2 linked regions of the Drosophila melanogaster genome follow. The protein of the gene in region 2 interacts with the protein of the main gene of each other region in a pairwise test. Each region holds a gene or a part of one and is shown on either strand. Other genes may lie near its edges.

Evidence for each region.
Region 1: the proteins of Spf45 (region 2) and CG13171 interact in a two-hybrid assay, tested with the Drosophila melanogaster proteins (one large-scale study listed by BioGRID).

Annotation. Positions count from the first base shown.
Region 1 is NT_033778.4:12,210,809-12,217,477, reverse strand, and holds CG13171 (uncharacterized protein), read right to left. Parts: upstream 3,469-6,669; 5' UTR 3,449-3,468; coding exon 3,128-3,448; 3' UTR 3,083-3,127; downstream 1-3,082. Other genes in the region: Sr-CII (scavenger receptor class C, type II), read left to right, coding at 6,335-6,554.
Region 2 is NT_033779.5:23,064,630-23,072,773, reverse strand, and holds Spf45 (Spf45), read left to right. Parts: upstream 1-4,387; 5' UTR 4,388-4,457; coding exon 4,458-4,574; intron 4,575-4,582; exon of another isoform or gene 4,583-4,629; coding exon 4,630-5,629; intron 5,630-5,690; coding exon 5,691-5,785; 3' UTR 5,786-5,900; downstream 5,901-8,144.

The DNA of each region.
Region 1 (6,669 bases), on a different chromosome or scaffold from region 2:
CCATGGCTTGCATTTTAATGTCCTTCGTGACTGGTGAGCCTAGATGGTTTGCCCGGCGAAAGGTCAACATAACGCGTTATCCTGCGGTGGAATCGCGAATGGCTCCCTACCCTACCCCTCCCCCCACCACCCCATCCCTAGCATGCAACAACCACTTTTCCCTGCGGTCGGTGCAACGGTTCGGAATTGCCAGTCAACGCGCTGCAGGACATGCCTGAAATGAGATGAAAATATGGCTGCAGTTGGCTAGTTGGCCATAAGCATGTTACATGACGCCCTGCCAAAGGGGAAACTAAGGCCAAAAGCCGATGCGAGCTGCATAGGGTTGCCAAGCAACCAGAGTTCCCAGCTCATTTGCAAGGCTGCACACAATGTAGCTATAGAATTAATTGGAATTTAGGAATAGATGAGGTTTGGATAGATGAGTTGCCGTCACATTACCAAAACTCACATCCTAATTATATAGTGGCTAAAGATGATTTCAAAGAAGGCAGGAGGCTGAAATGAAAGTTATGTAGATCTATCAATAAATCTATTAACAATTCTTTCAATTAAAGCTTTGGGTATGTAAATAGACCTATTTCGCCTGTTGCCAGATTCTCCATTCCTCTATACGAGCCACTTTGCCTATGAATGTATCGATTGATTGCCATAACTTGTCCTGCAGTTGGCAACCCATTGGGAACGCCCCCCCACCAAAGTTCCGTCCATTCCCGGGAGTTAATTCCTGCAGCCAAGGCCCGGAAAAAATCGAATTACTCCATTTGCATGTGGAAGGTTCGGCGCGGAACATTCAGGGAGTATGGAAATTGTGTTGAAACTGAGTATGTACATGCATAAATAGTTTACTGGCATCGCGTTGGGGTTCACATTACCGAATCCTTGCTGTGCACCACGTGGCGTATGAGTAACGCAACGCCTTATTAAGCCGGACAACTTTTATGAGGGAGACCAAAAAGCTTATCGAGCACCAGGGCAGTGCATAAAAAATGCCGCTTACGCAGGCAAATTATTTTGCTTCTGTATCGTTTACTTTTATTCCGCTCCATTTTCGCTTTCATGGTTTTTTTTTTTCTTTTGCTGTTTGACACAAAAATGTAAATGAAATTCACTAAACGAATTTTCTTGTTAAACGTCACAAATGACCACGCCCCATGCCGAGACGTTCTGGAGTGCAGAGGGGGAGGGGGGGAGGGGCTGTGTTCGGCGGTTGTTCAGGCGGTCTGGGTTGACAAACCCAAATGCTTTTTCTGGCAGCGGCAACTGGCGCCACATTTTCAAATACACAGTGCAAAAAATTGGTACTTAAACCTAGCATAGTCGTAAATTGCCCAAAAACAATAGCATTAGTTCCTCATTACATAGTTTGTAGTACTAACTTTAAACATAAATACAGTTTTAATTGTTGCACAAGTTGCTCCTCAAACGAATTGCGATTGGCGACCAGTTGATAGGCAGCCACAGGCTTAAAATGCATACAAGTCCTTTGCTGCCCCGGCTCCTTGTTCTGCTGATGTTTTCGTTGTTATTGTGGAAGGACAACGCTCACTTGGCTGGCCTTTTGTTTTGCAAACAAAGCAAAGTGGGCGTCAGGAAGGGCGGCATGGCAATAGAAGGCCATGGCGGCAGCAAGCCATAAATCAATTGGCAGCGTAGAAAAATTGCAGAAAATTACTTGATATTTACGGTCACTGAGCACACAATAGACCCGGCCCCGCCCACTTTTCACTCTTCCGCCCACCAAACCCACAGAATCGCCCATCGCCCACAGAAAGCAACAAGTATTGGCCTGGCATCCGTGACACTCAGGGACAGCGACAGGACATTTGCCGGCTATAATTACACTTGTACCTTGCGTCGGGCCACATGTCGTATTAGTAATATGCGCCAAGGCCAAGGACGTTGCCCAATGGGGTTGTGGACCGTCTCCAATTTATTTAATAAGCTACTGACAACTTGACAACTGATTTATGACTGGCCGAATTCGAAATTGAATAGTGAACGTTTTTAAGGATTTAAGTTATATTACTAAGAAGTCAAAAATGATAGAATCTGAGTGTGCACTTTGACCTACATTTGCTTTAATATTTTTAGAAATTTTTCTTTCAAAAGTTTGTTTATTGAACGTACTTTATGATATAATTGGTCCGGACCATTTTATGACGTCTATAAACTTGGCCTACTCATAGGCACCTAAATCCTTTTACATTTTAGCAAACTAATATATGTGAAAACTTTCCCAATATTTCTGGCAAGGAACCCCTCTGGTACGCACCCATGTCCCTCTCGGTATGATGCACTGCTCTGTCGACGCTCTCCAGGAATAGCTTCCAGCTGGGGCACTAAAAGCAAATGAACTAGGGGGCCTGGTGGCTCTGCATGTAATTATTCTGTCATCCGAGGTGTGTCACCCGGATGGAGCACAGGAGGAGCACGAGGAGCAGTAGCCCGAGGAGTTACTTTGAAGGGGACTGGCCTGGAGGAATGGATGGAGGTATGGAGTGATGACAAAAGACAGGCGGCCAACTGGCCTTGCCCTCTGACCCGGAGCCTTGTTGTTTATGGCCACCCAGTGCTGTACATGCGGCGTAATTGCATTGTTGCCGTTGTAATTACAGGCAAACATGCAGTTAATTAAAATCATTAAAATGCCTTTGCCTTTTGCCATTGAGCCACTCAGAGGTGTAGGTGGTGTGTGTGAGTGTGAGGATGCCTAGAAGACAGCTGGGAGGAGCGACCTAATTTCCGGCGAAAGGGAAAGGATGTGCCTTTCCAACTGTCACAGCGTTGAGTGCAAATTATTTTGGATTTTTTTCCAGCGTGCCTGGCACAGACTTTTGTTTGAAACTCTGATGGCTGCCGCATGTCCTCGTCTGGCACGATTCCTTGGATTGATTTTGATTAATGCTCCGGCAGTCGCAAGTCGAGCAAATCATTTTCACGCTTGCCAAAACATTCCAAAGTGACAAGCTCGTGCAAAGTCAAGTGTATATATATTGCACACATACATATGTATGTACATAAGTGTGCGCATCAACGGACCAAAGCGTCAAGTGCAGACATAGCAACCGTGTGTCACCTTAAATTGTTAATTGTTTTCCCTCAAACTTTATTTCCACACGCTTCATCAGTCACGAAGTGAGGCCATCTCGAATGGCACCTCGTACGAGTCGTACACCACCAGATGAACCTTCTCCAACAGCGAAAGTCCCTTCAGTTGGACATTCCTTTCGCTCTGCAAGCACAGCAGACCCAGTTCCATGCGGCACTTGGAGCAGTGCAGATTCTGGAATCGCTCCCCATTTGTCTCCCTGATCCTGTCCTCTTGGATTAGGTTGAAGGTACGGCTCAGGAGCAAGTCGTAGGGCGTCTCATTCACTTTGGCTGACTTGTAGCTGACGATATTGCCACAATAACGACAGGCATAAGCAATTTTAAAGGCAGACATTTGAAATACGTACACATACTAGGTTCCTTGGGTGATAGAGAATGTGAACTGACTTACTGATATATATTAGTTGTTCCATTAAATAATTTCATAAATTCTAGACTAAAAAAGTAAGGAGCTATTATGTTATATTTATGGTGTTCTTTATGTGAAAAGCATACATTTCCTTTTATATCTAAGCCACTTTATAGATGATATAGCCAAATTTGACCACTTAGCAATGAAAGAACCTTGTGGGTATGTATGCGAAAACAGTTTCCAAAACGACATGAATTCACAAGCTGAAACTGAACTATTGATGGCCACTATTTGAGCCAAGTCGACCCATCATTAAGGACGAACAATCGAAGAGCGCATTAAGCATATTTGATGCTCGGCGGCAAAGTTGATTACAAACACAATGTGGTGTATTCATGGCTGGTCACGGCAGCATGTCCTGCAACCTGCATCCCCCCCCCCTTCCCTTCCTAGATAATTAATGAGTTTAGGCCGAGTCCTGGGATGGGGTTGTGTGCCCGGAGAGAAGTGTTGCCATCATCGTTTCATTTGTTTATGCGTCTGTTTGCAGCTGTTATTTTATTCAGGCTCTCTCGCCTTGAAGATAATTTGCGCACGTGCTTCAGATTTGGTAGGTGTGTGTGTGTGAGAGTGTCCTTGTTTCGCCGGAAACCGGAATGCGGTGGTGTGGGTGCACAGAAGGCACACGCACCTACTTTATGCTCGGATAATTGCGAGCATTTGTCTTGGGCGTACAGCCAAATCCGTATCCAAAAGCAAATTACGGATTCTCATTTCTAACTGGAGCCACAGCAACGGGGCCAATTAAAAATGTATGCTCCCTGAGTGCCAAAATGTGTTATGCGAATTCAATCAATAAATTTCAGCTGCTTTCATTTGATTTGATGGGTTTCCTTTTAGAATGCTTTTAATTACAGCAGTTCAAATTAATGGAGTATACAATATACAATAACATACAAAAGCAATAATACAAATTGATCTTCAGTCGGAATTATTAAATTAATTTAATATTAAACTAACCCATTTAATTAACACAGCTAGAAAATAAGTAATGTTTTAAATCAAAACTTTATGGCTGGAGAAGCAAGCAATTTCCGAAAATCTGATCGACTTAAATGGTTTTATTTTCGAGCGAATTTCAATTGGTGAAATACCGATCTGAAATTTTGTATCTCAACTACTGGGTTAAATTTGCAGTCACCCGAGAGCCAAAAGATTAAGCCAACTTTTTTATAAGTGGTCCAACTAGAACAACAAATTAATGAAAACTAAGTTGAACATTCTCAAGTTTTTCCCAACTTTTTCGCTCTCTTTCCCTCACCGCCCTCTCTCTCTCTCTCTTTCTGTTGCTTTTCGTCTTGTTTTCGGTCTTGTTGGAATAGACAGCTTTGGAAGACGACCATTTCCACCATTTTCCGACCTCCGACCGAAATTGATGAAAACGAAATTGATGTTGACTCCTGGGCGAAAGGGGATGGTGGATGGGGTAAAGAGGGGGTGTCTACGTCGATGCGGTCGGAGCTGCCTTTTTGGCCAAAAAACGTGGACTGGCAAAGGGAATGGGGAAAGCTTTTAGCAGATACTTTACGCAAATCCCATGGGAAAACATTGGCCCACTTTCTGCCACAGCGGCCCCATCATTAAAAGTTAAAAAGGATTTTCAACGGATTTACGAATTTCAAGCTGAGCCCGAAAGACAAACAAAGCCATCAATTTACATATGCGAGCAGGTCAGAGCTAAAAATTCGGAAATTCTCAAATTCTCAGCTCCCAGACGTCGCTCCCTCGGCAAGAAATGGAAATACTAAAATTCAAGAAACACAATTTAAGATGCAGCCAGCGTTTTGGTGGGCGACGAGAAAATGGGTGGTGCCTTCGTTCCACCAAAAAAAAAAAAACAAAGCCGAGCCAAGACTGTCAAGTAGTCGTCGTCCCGCATCCACTTACGCCAGTCCCAGTACCAGTCCCTCGTCCACATTCTCACCATCGTCCTCGGCCATTTCCACTCGTAGTCATCGTCGTCATCGCAAGGACCTTGAGTTGTGCCTTCCATGGCTTTTGCCTTTGTTGTGCTAAACTTGTGGATTAGCTAAATGCAGGCCGGGCATGCCACGGCATGCAGGCGGCTTCATTCCGGTAAGTCAACCCGGACAACAGAACCCCCCTCCCAGCCATCTTAGAACCCAGCCACCCATCCACGTCGCCATCTCCTCCAAGAGGACGCCCACTTAAACCTAAACATTTCGCCTTCTTGGGTTTTTATGAGCTGCTCATGTTGGCGTTTTGCTTTCCTCGCATTCTTACTCGGTCTTTCATTTACTTACACCTGATGTTTGGCTTATTCTTATGTGCTCCTTGGAGGAGAACCTCCCTCCCTCCCTAGCCACTTCTGAGCACCCTTATAGATCTTAATGACAGAAATTGTGCGTTATCATTATGTGAAAAATTTGGATGTCAGTAAATTAAAGAATTGCAAGGATTGACTGTTGATTTCAGGCTGTTTACGTTTCAAAAATACGTTTTTATATACATTCGCATTTTAGAAAAATGTATTTTTTTCAAATAATTGTCAAATAATTGTATTTTTAAATAAAATCTTATTTATTAAATGAAACATTTTTTTGTTTATATGGCCACACTATACATCGATTGCCAGCAACGGTAAAGATGTTGATTTACATTCAAAACGATTTAATGAACGGTAACATCTTTTTTTTTGCAGCTGCGAAAAATCAGCTGGTGACGAACCCGCCCTTAAGGACTCGACTTGAATCAGGACTCGAATCAGTTGAGCATCAGGTAGCAGTCACTGTCCTTTCGAATCTCCTTAATATACATACAGAATTGAAGAAAAAAAAAATCGGAGCTATGCAATTTTTCTTGGCTCTGACATTGATTTTAGCCTACAGTTTGGATACCGCAAACGGAAGCTGCGAAGGATCGTTAGATTTGGAAAATGGACGATTCTTCACACGATCGAACAATTTAGTGATTTTCCAATGCAATCGCGGATTTGTGTTGCAGGGAAATTCAATACACACCTGCGATCGGGATGGTCGACTTCGCGAGAAGAAACCATTTTGTGCCAGTGAGTGTTGACAGTTTTCGAAAATGTACACCCTTTCAAATCGAACTAAGAATATGAAACAAGAACATTTCATATCATCATACTAGTTATCAACAAAATTTTGATTTTTTTCATT
Region 2 (8,144 bases):
GATTCTAGATTTCAAAAAACTTTTTTAAATTAGGGAAATGCAGTTTTCAATACACAATTATAATCTTTCGCGTTCATTTTTGGTGTTAAAAACTGTAATTCTCAGGGGCCATAATAGGATACTGCGCCCCATACCATGACAACTCCAATTTTTCCTGCCAGGATAACAGCGTTCCTCTTCCCATATTTTTCGCAAAATTAAAGAAAACTTTTCAATTTAACAGCATAAAAAATGTTGTTGTCCTAGCATTCGGAATATAGCATTCGCAATATACTTGTCCAATTTTTCGTCGAAAGTAAAACAAAGCAGAATTAAAAAGATTACGGTTCTTCTCAGGACCTATTTTTTTTTCCTCAAAGAGAGAGGAAATATCAGTGAACAAAAAACAATAACATTGATAGATTTTCGTGCAATGGAAAATACAGACCATAAGATGAAATGGAGGCATACAGGGGGCGTTTATCTGATGACGCACAGTGTGTAGCAACCCGAATTTTACAAATTTTGTCCATGGGTTTTTGCGGCGAAAACTAATTTCACTTTTTCAAGTTGTTCGGCTCACTACACGTTCTTCTGCTGCTGGGCTTGCCACATTTATAAAAATGACAGCTGATTGTACGACCGCGTGACAGCTGGGCAGGGGAGCTCAACAAAGAATAAATTACACTGTCTTTTTTTTATTGAAATTGTTTAGGTTTCACTATGATTTCACTTATAGTGACTTGGGGGTCACTGTTTATTGTATGTGCCAGAATTCTGGACTTCTCTATGGGCTTTTGCGGTAAAAACTAATTTAACTTTTTCGCGTTGTTTTGCTTGGTGTCAGTAGTGTGACCAGACTTCGGAGCATGCATGAATAATTTTAATACAAATACGAAATAGGAACATTTTAGGGGCATTTTTTTTATATGAATGGAGATGAACCACCAAATTTCTAACACTCTATAAAAATTCAATTCGTTAACACGATAGAAAATAAAAAAATAAATTTAATATGACTTTAATACTGACTTCAGATTGCGAAATACAACTCACAAAACAATACCTGTGATCGATCCCAAAGCAACTTGAATTTGTTTCTTATTAACTATTGTAAGGTAGCTGGTCGTGCTAAAAGTAGGCACGTTAATTGGAAGTTCTAGAGAATGGGAATAATTGTAATTGAGCCCATCAATTCCTTCAATGAGCCCTTCAATCAACTCCACAAATCGCTTCCAAGCCTTGTTCAACGAATGACGCCCATATTCATGTCTCAAGGAAAACAATACGTAACAAACAGTCGGCCAGTGTTAACCAATCTGACCAATCTGTAACATCCCCCATTGAGTTTCAATGGAGGACATCATCGCATGCCTACAGAATACGCCATAGCGTTGTACGTGTATATACTCGACGCAATAAGTCGAACTCACTCCTTGTTAATATGAGGTTTATTGATCTCAAAAAAGGTAAATAACTAGTTTGTCAAGAAAATTCTTATTGTCTGCAAGTCCAGTATTTTTCTGCCCTATCGATCGACCGCCATTATTGCGGCGCCCCTTCCCTATTTTATGCACTGTTTTGATGCCAACAGCCGATTTGCTTTGTTTACATCGATAGCAGCTTTATGGTGGCATCCTTGCTCCTGATGCTGGGAACCATCGCTTTGCATCCCTGCCTTTTCCACGCTGTCAGTCGGCTTCAGTCCTCTTGAGTTCTTGCTCCTATTATCCAGGTGCATACCCTACTTGGGGCCGGCGCTGATTTTCCAGGCTCGAACTCTTTTTCCTGCGCGAGTGTACCTGCTCGAACTCCTTCTTCTGTTCGCGAGTTGAAGATTACGATCCCCGTTTCGTCTTTCCCCTTCCCCTATTAGAATTCGTCTCCGACATGAATTGGTCTCCTCCATGCTGGCTGCTTGATCAAAACAATGACGGTTGGGCGCCAAAAGTAACAAGCTGTTTAGTTCTACTCGCTACGAATTGCAGCGGCGAGCTCAGAGAGTTTTTGTGTTCGTCCCATCAAATTTTTGATTTGTGTGAGTACCTGACCAAGGAGAAGACAGAGTTTCAGATTAAGGGCGCTTTATTGTAGTATTTCACGGCTGACTGCTGATCGCCGTCTGCTGCGCGGCGTTGCTCCTGCGACGCCTTGCCTTCATCTTCCTGTGTGTCCCTGACAACGGAACACGTGCAGGATCGAAAGGGATTAGGATGTCATGGGCCAGGGTATATCGTCAACTGGTTAAGGCAACACTCGGCCAGGGACTACCCTTACCGACCACTGACTCCACTGTCCCTTCTGACCAGGTTCTTGTGTTATCGTGCTCCGCGGATCTCTGCATTGCACCGTTCTTCACCTGGAGTGATTGTCCTTGTATGTCCGCTCACTGGCTAATTCCCTTCTACGTCCTGCGCGTTCTCACAGACCGTTACCTTGTCGACGGGTGCGCGTTTTTCACTGACGGGTTGACTGTTCGCGGCGTTACTCTTACTTTCTCACTGTTCGTTCCCACTCGCGAATCTCTTGTCGCCTTGTTGGTATAGGTGGTCGCGGGGATCGCGTTATTTTTTTGTGCACGGTCCGCTCAGGTACAAGGCCACGTTAGTTCAAGGTGCGTCCTCTTTGTGCTCGTCCAAAGTCCGCATTGTTACCGTTCGACCTTGGGCCTTGGCCGTCCAGAGCTCGAGTCAAAGGTCCAGCGCAATACCGTTAGTTCACGGTCTCTCCACTTTGTCGGGGTCCAAGGTCCATTATTTTCCGTTCGACCTGGCCGCCTGACAACTCTCACATTCCAGCCGTCTTCGCTGTTGCTAAGCAGCTTTCCTAAGTTGTATTTTTTGAGAGTTTTAAGACTCCTCACAGTATTCAGCTCGCGACGTATGAAATCCGCATGTCGTGCCCTAAAATTTAGCAACAAGTTGTATATTTATATTTATTATATAAATATTCATTTTTAACTATGTATGTATGTTTGTATAGTTTTTATGAAATACATTTTTTAAAATGTATATATATTTTTTAAATTTATTTTTTAAATTACAAAAGTTTTATCCACAATTTTAGATAAAATTCATTTGATTTATTAGTTGAAATAATAAACATAATTTTAATTCTGTTATGTTGCTCACAGTCTCATGTTGAAGTATGTCTCCAGTACCATTTTACAAATATTAATTATAAACAATAAAATATATTTATGTGAACGGTTGATAATAATTTAAATAACATTAAGAATAAAAACAATAATGGTCAAGGCATTAATTTTTAAATCATTTTTAAATATGTAACTTCGCTTCTTAGATCAATATTAATTTCGGTTCGAAAATCGTCTTCTACGCTCTCAATTTCACGCGAGGCGGAGTAAGAGCAATTTTGGCCGTCACAAACCTCTTGATATTCGAATGTCTTTGCTTAGACATCGGTAGTCCCCGTGCCGCATGTAATTGGCAATTCTGTATGATCTTGATCAACACTAATCTACAAATCTCTTTAAATGACACAATGAAAATGCTAAGATATGCAAAACTTACGAAAAGCACATTCCCCGCAGGAATCTTCCTTTACTTTCTCAGTCGATTTATTATGTCTTGGCAATCGAGTAACTACAGTTCAATCCACTATACATTAACTGTTGCACAATTTATCGCTACAAAAACCATTACAAAATCAAATGGTTCGGCTAAACAGACGACGCTCTTACTGGCTCTCTCAAGCATTATTTATCATAAAATTTTGAATTGTGAAAAATTGATGCTTGTTTTGCTTTTATTAGTTTTAAGAAGTTTAACTTGTGTTAACTATGGGAAATCTTTATACAAAGTTATTCGATTTAAGCCCCGCCCACACTCTCATGAATAGAAGTAGTAACATTTTCCTTGTTTCGTAGCGTTTAAAGGGGTTTGTTTCCTATATATTCGATGATAGTAGTATCTTATCGTGCATAGGTAATTAAATACCTTCTTTCAAGGTATTTATTTTGAAAGCAACGAAAACATTATGAAGTACGACTTGTTTTTAACAACTGTAAGCTCTTCTTAATTTTTTTCTTCAATATCGATAATATTTAGCGTGTAAGTCGTAAGCTCTACTAACTATGACTATGCCATAGATGCAAGGCAATCGTTGTGCAATAGTTTTTATTTTAGTAAAACAGTGAAATTAAAAACAGTTCGATGACCCATGTAGTTGACTTAAGTTTCAACATAAAATAGACGCATGCGTTTTTTTGTGTTAGAAAAATTTTAAAATAAATTTAAATAAATAAATAGATTTGTAAACTTTTTTCTATTGTAGCTTATCTGTTCTTGCCCGATAGGGCATCCTTTCTTGCAGTGATATGGCTCTGTGTGAATCGGACATTAAGTCGAACAGTTGATAGTCATTAAATCTATCGGGCCTTGAAAATAAATAAAAACATTGTTGAAGCTCGTTGTCATCAATATCTTAAGGTGGTGCTAGTATTGATATATTTGTTAATGGATTTGTATGACGGCATTGATACGAGGGCTCGATCTAGCCAGATTGATGGATGGTCTTCGGGAATAAAAATGTTACAGACCCAGCTGGCAGTAAAAATGGCTGTCAAAAAACCAGTGAGTATACAATCTGCCGATATAGATCATACAATTATTAATACACCCTATGTAGCTTATGACGCCAGTGGTTAATCTAAGGTCCAAACGCCTTGCAGATCCAGAAGTTACATGTTTTGCTCCAATTACTACAGTTGTATCCAAACCATTAATAAGTGGTAAAGCCCTTCCATCCATACTGGAAAGGATAAACAGGGGGGACTGGGACGTTGCCGATGAATACGATCCTCAAAGGCCAAATGAATATGAAAAACTTAAAGAGAAAAGTAATGGCAGTGACAAAAATCGAGCAGGCGTAAGTGATCGAGAAGACCGAGATGACAAAGAAAAAGATCGTAAACGTGGACGCGTCGGTCGTCGAGAATTTTATAGAGACGAAGTCTCAGCCCCTAACCTGAAGCTCAGCGGGTTTGGCCACCGGCAAAACGATGATGACATGTACTTGCCATCTCCGGGCCTTGTAGCTAAACAGGGAGGTGCCACAATCGCTCCCCCTCCTTCCCTCCAAGAAATGTCCATTGATAGTGGTTGTGAAGCCACTAATACTATGCCATATTCTGCCAGCTCGGTGGCCGCCAAAATTATGGCAAAATATGGGTTTAAGGATGGTCAAGGTCTCGGAAAATCGGAGCAGGGCATGGCCATAGCTCTTCAAGTAGAGAAAACCTCCAAACGTGGTGGACGGATCATACACGAAAAAGACGTTTTTCTGCCACCCCTAGCATTGTCGCCACCTTCTATTGGCTCCCAAATAGGAACAAGTCCCAGCCACAAGGCCATGCCTCCTCCCCAGATGGTAGACACGGCGGCTGAGAGTGGTGACATCGGATACAGCATTACGGAGATTATGAAATCACCAAGCAAGGTTGTTCTTCTACGCAACATGGTAGGACCCGGGGACGTTGACGAAGAATTGGAACCCGAGGTAAAAGACGAATGCAACACCAAGTACGGGGAAGTGAACAGTGTAATCATTCACGAATCGTTCGGAACTGTGCCAGAAGATGCAGTTAAAATATTCGTAGAGTTTAGGCGGATCGAAAGTGCAATTAAAGGTTTTTATACATATGTGAATACTTTGTTTGGTAAATAGTTAGCTTTTATTTTTCTTTGCAGCTGTAGTGGACCTTAATGGACGTTTTTTTGGAGGACGTCAAGTGCGAGCGGGGTTTTACAACTATGATAAGTTTAAATGTTTCCAATTACATTAGAACTAATACAACTAAGATTGCATTTATTTTTTTCTAAGTTATTGATAGCCTAAAAAATGTTTACCGCACAGAACTAGTCTTGTAAATTTCTATTAAAAACTACTTTCTATCAAACAAAAACATTTTGACCATATTTATGTATATTTTTATTGTTGGGGTCGCTTACACAGTTTAGGTAACAAAGTGGAATACCCCTGGCTTTAGACCTTATGCTATGTTGGTTGGACCAAAGACACTAGAATAACAAGATGCGTAACGCCATACGATTTTTTTGAAAACGATTTTTTCGGAGCTGTTTTTTTACAGCAAACAGCTCATACAGTGACAGCCGGCAACTGTATGTGTGCACACGTATGCTCATGCATTGTTAATTTGACAAAAAATGCCCTTCACTTTACAAGTTTCTAGACTTTAAATATTTATTATTTTTTATCAATTGTCTCCATTTACAAAATTCCTGTTTTGCATAGCCTTAACGTTGTTATTATTTAGCTTAGAAATAGTAATAGCCGAATCAATGCACAGTGCCGCTCAACTGAATAGGTTGACTATTTTTAAATCCGAAACAAATTTGTATGTATGAATAGCTCAGTTATTAATAGCTGTTAAATAGCAAAGTTTCTGATCTCTTAAATTTGTTTTTATATCATTTTTTTTTTCAAAAACAACAAAAAATCTTCAATTTTTTGGCTTAACTGAATAGGTTTTACGCTTTTGACTTTACTTTTTGTTTGACCGCGTGATTGTAAAAAGTTAAATTCTTTTGTATTCTAAAATATAAATTATCTTTTTTAATCTTTTTCTCAAATGGTCCGCGGAAAACCTTTATCCGATTTTGAAAAAGGTCAAATCAAAGGCTATATTGAATCTGGTTTAAAACACTGTGTAATAGCCAAGAAAATCGGTCGAAGTCAAAACGTTGTGAGTAATTTTCTTCGTAATGAAGCCGACTATGGAATTGGATTATTTTAATTGTGTTTATTAGTGAAAAGTAAGTGGGTATGTGGGATACGATTAATAATTGGTTATAAGCAATAATGTCATCAGGTACCAGATGGCTGTGAAATTGAAAGTAGATTATTTTTCTTTTGTTTTGTAGTAGTGCGTAACTCTATTTCTATTAGTGATTTTGTAATGGTCAGGGTCAGTCTGTTCTAGATTTTAGGCTAGTTTAAATGGATTTTCTAATTTGCCTTTCTGTAGTGGGCTTTTTGTGTTGGGCAGTATCTCGTGTCGACTTCGTATACCATTCTGTCACTGTTGAGAAATATGTGTACAGGGTATCCAGTGGTCCAGTGGTATCGTGTTTGGTCTTGTGATTGTATATCTTAAGTATTGTTTTTATTTTGCTTAAAGTCTTAATCGCCCATACAGTTGCCAAGTTATTTCTCAATTGCGCTGTAATTGACCTCGTGTTCATTGTGAGAGTACTCTTGTGGAGAGTCTGTGGTTAAAATAAATTTCTTTGTAAAGTATTTTAATTTTTTAAATGCTGAGGCATATTGTGGGTTGGTAGTATCAATTTTGATCTTTTTTAAACACTTAGTCATGGGTTAGGCTTATGTCTGCAAAGTTTGGAATGAATTTACGGTTGGTTTAGTGGGAATTGTGTATTTCTGAATGGCTTTAATCTTTTAAGGGTCTGGTTTTATTCCGTCTGTATTTGGAACATGTCCCAAAAATGTGGTTGCATGCTTGAGAAACTCACACTTGTCAAGCTGTAATTTAAGGTTTAATTTAAGCCTTTCCTAGTTTTTCAAAAACTATTCTGAGCGGTTGTCAGTGTTTATTTAGGAGCGGTCGTAAAATGTCATTCATGCACCGTTGAAAGGTGGCTGGTGCGTTTTTTAATCCGAATTGCATGCGCAAGTATTCATAATGACCGTGGTTGGTGGAAAAGGCTGTCTTTGAAACTGATTCTGGGTCCATCTCGATCTGGTGAAAACCCTTTGCCAGGTCTATAGATGTGAAATAATTACACCTGCCTAGCTTTCCTAAAATTTTTGTTTGCCTGACGCATCTTGTTTCTTTGGAACCACCCAGATGGGACTATTGTAAGATGAGTTACTGGTACGTATAATACCCTGATTTAGCATATCGTGCATACCTCTTGTTCATAAGCCTGTGGGTAACTGTATAATTAAGAATAAATGGGTAGATTACGCTTTGTATTGATGGTATGTTTGGTTTGATTAGTAAATGTAAACTTGTCACCTTCATGGTACTGTATGTCATGGTATTGCTGCAGGAGTGCACACAATCTTTGTTTTTTTTTTAGATATTTAAATGTTCCAATCTGTATAGGTCTGATTCTAATATGGGTGAATTTTTTTCTGGTGTGGTGTCAGGTATCATATTT